Linked DNA regions of Rattus norvegicus. The protein of the gene in region 1 interacts with the protein of each later gene in a biochemical or structural test. Links are inferred from orthologs where the notes say so. Each region holds a gene or a part of one and is shown on either strand. Other genes may lie near its edges.

The links. The genes of interacting proteins can lie anywhere in the genome.
Region 2: the proteins of Rp2 (region 1) and Arl3 form a complex in vitro, tested with the Homo sapiens proteins (2 studies listed by BioGRID). The link is inferred for Rattus norvegicus from reciprocal best matches to the Homo sapiens genes RP2 and ARL3.

What each region holds. Positions count from the first base shown.
Region 1 is NC_086039.1:4,456,680-4,460,190, reverse strand, and holds part of Rp2 (protein XRP2), read left to right. Parts: intron 1-1,286; coding exon 1,287-1,952; intron 1,953-3,511. UniProt on the Homo sapiens protein: Acts as a GTPase-activating protein (GAP) involved in trafficking between the Golgi and the ciliary membrane.
Region 2 is NC_086019.1:255,385,284-255,389,227, reverse strand, and holds the start of Arl3 (ADP-ribosylation factor-like protein 3), read left to right. Parts: upstream 1-1,140; 5' UTR 1,141-1,148; coding exon 1,149-1,151; intron 1,152-1,639; exon of another isoform or gene 1,640-1,707; coding exon of another isoform or gene 1,708-1,722; intron 1,723-3,944. UniProt on the Homo sapiens protein: Small GTP-binding protein which cycles between an inactive GDP-bound and an active GTP-bound form, and the rate of cycling is regulated by guanine nucleotide exchange factors (GEF) and GTPase-activating proteins (GAP).

The DNA of each region.
Region 1 (3,511 bases):
TTTGATAGTGCAGTTAAAAATTTACAAGAGTGACATATTCTAGATATTATTATTTAAAAGATTATATGAGGCAAAGTTTATAATACCTAACAGGATGGCTAAATTTGATACACTGGATGAATAGCTCAGGCAATGTCTGATTAAAATTTGTAGATGTAAGTACCAACATGTCAAGGCTTTTGTGTCTTTAGATTCTGCCATTGTCTGTGGTGTATGAGAATCTCAGGATTTAGAAACTTAGACCCAAATATCATTTTGTAATAGGGTAAAGAAATATATCCAATTTAAGTTTTTTTAAGAAATATGTTTTAAAATTGAAGTACAAGGAAATCATCAGAAAGCTGAAATAGTATGCATCTATACTTTTATTGTTTAATTTTCAGTTAAAGGGATGTATCCAAGGCCATGTACATTCTAAACCTACATTGTAATACTGAACTATATCCTAGTCTGAATTAGTATGTCCTGATTAGGATCGATGCAGAGGATAAGCTTTGATTTCCTAGTAGAGTTTTTTGCAGTTGTATTTGAAATAGACTTTTGTTCTGTAGCCCTGGCTGGACTTGAATGCCTGTCTTGTAATCTTCCTGCCTCAGCTTCCCAAGTGCAGGGATTGGAGGTGCATACCTCATGCCCAACTTACATATCTACTTCCATTGAAATATTTGTTTTGAAGAAATATATTCTTGACCTTGCCCAAATATGCCAAAATACTGTTGATAGTAGCAGTGATCTTATGTCACCTGGATTAACTCACAGGAAGACCCAAATTATAGTGTCACATGGGCTTTCCTTTAGGTTCGTGTGCCCAAGAATGAAATTTGATAGCAGAAAGAGTGGATGCATTTCCTAGGGGGTAGTTATATATTAACCAAGGTTAGAAACTTTAGATTATTTAAAATTGGTAAGTCGACCCCTCAGTTCCATTATCACACTTAGAAAATGGAAAAATAAAAGCTCTTTATGTTATCTAACAGGCTTTGTGTATATGTGTGACTATTCTCAGTTGCCTCAAAAAAGGATGCTTACGGTTGAAATGATTGAAGCAGGATCCAGGCAGTACACATAGCACTTGGTGAATGTGTCCTTGAACTTTGGTTTCTTTCCCGCTTCCCTCACTCATTGTTCTCATTTACTGAAAACAAACAAATGTTTTCTATTAAATGAGACTGAGGAACTTAAGTTTTAGCATTCACAACTAACTGTCCCTGGCATCCCATAGGCACTTACTTAGTTTTGGTGAATAACGTTAACAATACTCAAGGTAATGTGTCTTGTTTCTGCAGGTTGATCCAAAAGATTACACGTTTAGTGGACTAAAGGACGAAACAGTAGGTCGCTTACCTGGAAAAGTGGCAGGACAACAGTTTGTCATTCAAGACTGTGAGAACTGTAACATCTATATTTTTGACCACTCAGCTACTATTACTATTGATGACTGTACTAACTGTGTAATTTTTTTGGGACCAGTGAAAGGCAGTGTGTTTTTCCGAAATTGTAGAGATTGCAAGTGCACATTGGCTTGCCAACAATTTCGTGTAAGGGACTGTAGAAAGTTGGAAGTCTTTTTGTGCTGTGCCACTCAACCCATTATTGAATCTTCTACAAACATCAAGTTTGGCTGTTTTCAATGGTACTACCCTGAATTGGCAGCCCAATTCAAAGATGCAGGCCTCAGTATCTTCAATAACATATGGAGTCATGTTCATGATTTTACACCTGTGTCCGGAGAGCTCAACTGGAGCCTTCTGCCAGAAAATGCTGTGGTTCAAGACTATGTTCCTCTCCCAACGACTGAAGAGTTCAAAGCTGTGCGAATTTCCACAGATCCCAATAGAAGCATTGTTCCTGTATCCCGGGGTCAGAGACAGAAGTACAGTGATGAATCATGTCTCGTGGTGTTATTTGCCGATGATTATACAACAGCAAATGCCAGGAAACTAATTGATGAGGTAAGGAGAAAGAGAAGAGAAATAGTCATACATAGGAGGGCCATGCTACATTGGAGACTTTCGAGGTTTTCTTGTTTTCAAATTTATTATTAAAAATACTGGCAGCCCTTAAGTTAGTCCCCCCAACTCCTTGCCTCCACAAGGCTTGCCTTAGAAGCAGATCACTCGGTCTTCAAAATCCTTCTCCAGAAAACTTTTCATCCTAGTTCAAATCAGTAAGCATTCTTTAGCACCAATTATATGTGGGTCATGTTGTTACCATATTTCATTCATTATATGATGCATGTTTGTTTTCCACATCTTTGCTTACATACTTTGTAATTAGTTGCAACTTAGAAATAATTGAACATAGTTGATGCTGGAAATGAAGGCATATAGATACAATTCTCTGCCTCAAGAACTGTCATTCTTCATCATAAACAATTTCTATGCATACTCACAACAGTACTGCATATGGAATCATGGCCTTTCCTAATGAGGAAACTTCTTTGGAGTTTTAATTGGTTGTAAATGACACTTGAGAATATGTTTAGACCCTGCTGTGACAGTGCACATCACAGCCCCATTCACACTGGGCTCCTTATTAGCTCATGCCCCATTGCCATTGATAGGACACTGGGATAGACTCTAATATAGACTCAATAATATGAAGAAGATGAGGATTGGAATGTCAAAAGCTCTAGCACTTATGAGGAGAGGCTTTCTGTGAGGTCATTAAGTAGAGAAGAGTTATTGCACAGCAGCTTCCCCTTGAAAAAGCATTTGAGGGGAGAGCAGTAGTTCCTTAGTTGGTAGGTGTGCCAGTAAGAAGATGCATTGATCAGGATTTATCCAATAGAATCAGTTTAAACTTAAAAATCAAGTTTTCAGAAGTGGATAAGTAAGTTTCTTTCTGAAGGGATTGTTGTAAATTTGAAGTACACCAAAAGGAATGATTTTTCTAGACAAAATGTAAAAATGAGTATCTCTATAATTACATATCTGTAATGCAGAGAATCCATGTCTGAACTCTACAAAGTATATTGGAGGCACAGGTTTTAAAACTATAGAACCTAAAGTATAATTTTAAAACTTTGATACATTACTCATTATTGATTTTTTTTATTCAGAATCTCTCTCTGTGTAGCCATACCTAGCCTGAAACTTATTTATGTAGAGCAGGCTGTATCTTGAACTTCCCACAATCTTTCTGCCTCTGTGTTCCAATGGCTTAAGCCATTATATCTGGCTTCAGATGTTGTTTTCTTTTGTTATGCCAGTATGGTAAAAGCATGCTGTAAGTTTTGTAAAATGTAGAAAATATGCCTATAGCCTTTGCCACTATCTAGTCACAACGTTAATTCAATATCTGAGAAATAAATATCTTCACTGTGTTGTAGGGCAAATTTCTTTTATATGGTGAATTTTTACTACATATAATTTTCAAAAGATTAATCATGAAGTTAAACTCCTTTGGTAGATAACCAGGAGTAGATATATAGATGTTAATATGTTAACATGTTTTAAAAAATGCCATCAACTCAGTCTTTATTTATGAGTCATGAATGTTCTGAATCTTT
Region 2 (3,944 bases), on another chromosome or scaffold:
TCTGAGGAGAGGGACGTAGTGTAGCTCAGTGGCAGAGAAGGCTTGCCTGCCCAGTACAAATCTCTGCCTCCTGAGTTCAGTCCTGGAGGGCAAACGGCATTCCTACCTGAGCCACAGTGTTTACAAGCAACACTATAAAATAAAGGGTTTACAAGTTAGTTCAAGTCCGGACTCTATCATCTACACCTAGGGCTGCAAGGAAATTAAACCTCGTATAAGAAACATTCCACTAGGAAGAATGCAATTTCCACGACGGCAGGTTGTACTCCAGTGTCAAGAACCCGACCTGCCACAAAGGTAAGGGTAACTTTCCAGTGGTCCCGCTTGCAGTCCAACATGGCTTTACCAAAATCCAGAGGATCCCAGACAATTTAACACTCCCGATGCCGGCTAACCTCAATGCTAGGGACTGGTTCCTAACCTGCCTATCGCCCTCTCTCAGGGGACCTCCCCCAACCCAGCAGAAATCACCTATCCTGGAGATAGACACTCAGCCCACAACTTCTGAGCCCTAAATCCTGACACCCGAAGACAACGAGGTTCAGAAGAGAGGAATCCACTGGAGCCCTGGTCCGTCCCTCCCGCCACGCGGCTTCTACAGATGCAAGTCCAGCACGCAGTGCCTGGCAGCCACCACAGAAGGGAGCCAGGCTCCCTTCGGAGGCGCGGGGAATAGGAGTAGCTGTGCTTTTGGCTTGCACTTGAGGACTCTTACCTGGTCCCAGAGGGGATGCAGCCCGCGACAGCCACCAGACGAAGCTGACTAGGAAAGCAGAACTGAAGTGTCGCGGCTAGGCCCGGGAACCACCCCCTCGCCCTACGCCCACCTTTCCGACCAATCACAGGCCACAGGCTCCGGCCAGCCACGTGGGCGGTTTTGCACCTCCCGCAGGCCCGCTCGCCAGCTCGCCCCGCCCTCCCGCCACTCCCGAGACCGCCTGCGCAATGGGCGGGTGCTTTGGCGCGCTTGCGCACTTTGGGTAGAGAGGAGCAGAACCCCGCCCCATCCCGCTGCTCTGCTCCTTCGCTGTGCGTGCGAGGGACGTCAGGGGCGGCGCCGCAGCAGTTACCCCTGGTAACGGGGGAGGCAGGAGGAGGAGGCGGAGGAGGAGGAGGAGGAGGAGGAGGAGGAGGGACTCGGCTTGAGGATGGTGAGTGTGGGGGCCCCGGCCCTTCAGAGCTGACCAGTCACCCCCCCCTCCTGTCCCCAGGCCCAGGGCGGGGCGCTGCTCTTAAAGCGGAGGAGGACGTGGGATGGAGCTCGCCTTGCTCTTTCGGGTTCTAGATCGGTTTCAGGGGCGAAGGAGGAGCCCCTAAAGTGGGCCTGGAGGGAGGCCTAGGCCTAGGGAGAAAGGAGGGGTTTGCGATGGATCCGAGGCGTGGAGAGGGTACTTTAGTGCTTCTCTGGCGGGGATGAAGCCTAGCACCATCATCTTTCTGGGATGAAGGCGGCTCTGGAACTGCGGAGATCAGGCCGGGCTCACAGGCTTAGATCATACTGCAGAGCCGACCTCTCGGAGCCTCGGGACTGTGGGGTCCATCTGAGACCCGGCCAAAAGTGGGAGAGGCGCAGCGCTACGGTCTTTGAGATCACCCTCGTGGCACCAGGGAGCTGTAACCTAGTTTTCCTTTCCTAGATGCTCGCGTCTCTGAGTGAGAGAGGTGTGTAGGGAGTAAGTCCCAGGACAATAAGAGGTACCGCTGGAGATGAATGTCCCTGTGGTAGGTGCGCTCCTGCAGTCCCAACTTAGTCGCTGAAAGTTCTGCGAAGGTCTAATGGTTGTTGACGACCGATTTTTCGTTCCGTATTTATTCCATGTTGATAGAAGCAAATGGTCTTCGCCTCAAATGAGAAATAGAGAGTGAGCATCAATTTGAAACAAGCCTGTTCTCCGTTAGCCATAATTAAGGCCTTTCCAAAGTGTAAGTTAGGGTGTGTGACAGATTTGACGGGAGACACTCAGTTCCTTGTTGATTTTTTTTAAATTATTATTTTATTTACATGTGTACCAGTGTTTACCCTGTGTGTATGTTTGTGCACCACGTGTGTGCCTGGTTCCTGCAGAGGCCAGAAGAGGGCTTTGATGGAGCTGGAGTTATGGATGTCTGGGAACCGTCATGTGGGGACTGAACATCATGAGCGTTACTGAACATCTATCTGCCCTCCTTGTTAATTTTATACGCGGTAGATGGAGTAAAAACGAAGTTACGGGGAAATTAATATTTTTAGAGCTAGTCAAAGAAAACTTGATTTTAAAGCACTTAGTTTTTTTTTGTTTGTTTGTTTGTTTGTTTTTCGGAGCTGGGGACCGAACCCAGGACCTTGCACTTGCTAGGCAAGCGCTCTACCGCTGAGCCAAATCCCCAACCCCGATTTTAAAACACTTAGAACAGGTTGGTTGGCTTACTAAAGCTCAGAGCCAGTTACTGTTGCTTCTCTCATACACCACATTATTTTTGTAAAAATTTGGGGCCGCTTCTGTTGACTTAAGCCTAGTACTAGGGGTATAGCTTACTGGGTAGAGGTTTGCTTAGCAAGCATGAAGTCCTGAGTAAAACCATAGATGGGCAGGGGCTAAATTACACATCTGTTTTGGTATAATTATTGATCGAGTAAATTTTGACCAAAAAAATTTACAATGTCAAATTATTTAGTAGAATTATTTAATCTTAGGTTGTCAATCACACTTCATGCTTGTTACATTTACAGTTATTTCTAACCTCAGGCTAAACAGATTTTAACAAGCATTTTCTTTTTATTATTTACATATGAGCTGCCCATTTAAAGGCTGGGATTGTCTTAACAAATGAGTGCAGATATAAATATTTACACAGAAAATAAACAGATTTGAGAAAGGGGCCCTGCAACCCCTGTAACCTCAGCACTTGGGAGGTAGAAGGAGGAGCAGGAATTCAAGACCAGCCTGGGCTACATAAGACTCTGTTTCGTAATGAGTAGGTAATTTTTAAATTAATGGAAATAATTAGAACTGCAATTAAAAGACCTTGCCAGGATGTGTGTGGTGGCTCCTGCCTGTAATCCCAGTCCTCTCCATGTTAAATTAAGAGGATCACCATGAGTTAAGAGGCCAACCTGGACTACAGTTTCAGGTCGGCCTCAGCTAGATGGAGACCCTGCCCCAACAGCCATCCCCTTAAAAGAAAGAAACACATGCCAAACCAGGAGAAAATAAATGAGAAACAGTTTACTAACTTTCTTCAGTTTTTCAATTAAGTAGAGTACATAATTTTATGACTGCTTAATTTATAATTATAGGTCACAGTAAATGAACCACTGCTTGTGTTTCTAGGTGCAAATTGGCACTGTATTTAAGTATATAACAAATTGACCGTGTATATACAGATAAATATATATATATATATACACACACATATATATATATATATATATATCTTAGTGTTTTGACTGCAAACATGTATGTACACCGTAGGCATGTCTTGTGTCCAAGGAGGCCAGAAGAGGGCATTGCATCCACTGAAGCTACAGTCAGTTTTGAGCCACGGTGTGGGTGTTGAGAACTGAACTCCAGTTCTCTACAAGAGCAGTGAGTGCTTTTTTTTTTTTTCTATGTTGAATATTTTGTCTACCTGTACATATATATACCACATGAATCCCTCATGCCTTCAGAAATTAGGAGAGGGCTTCGAATCCTTTGGAACTAGAGTTACAGGCAGTTGTGAGCCACCTTGTAGAGGCTGGGAATAAGACCTGGGTCCTCTGTAAAAGCAACAAGTGCTCTTAACCACTGAGCCTTCTCTCCAGTCCAAAACAATTTTTTAAAAAAACTATTGGATTTATTAATTTTATTTGATCTGTCTTTTGCCTGCCTGTATGTGTGTGCACCACATAATACTTGCCGCCTTCAGAGGAGAACACCAGAACCCTGGGCGCTGGGTTACTGCTGTGTGGGTGCTAGGAACTG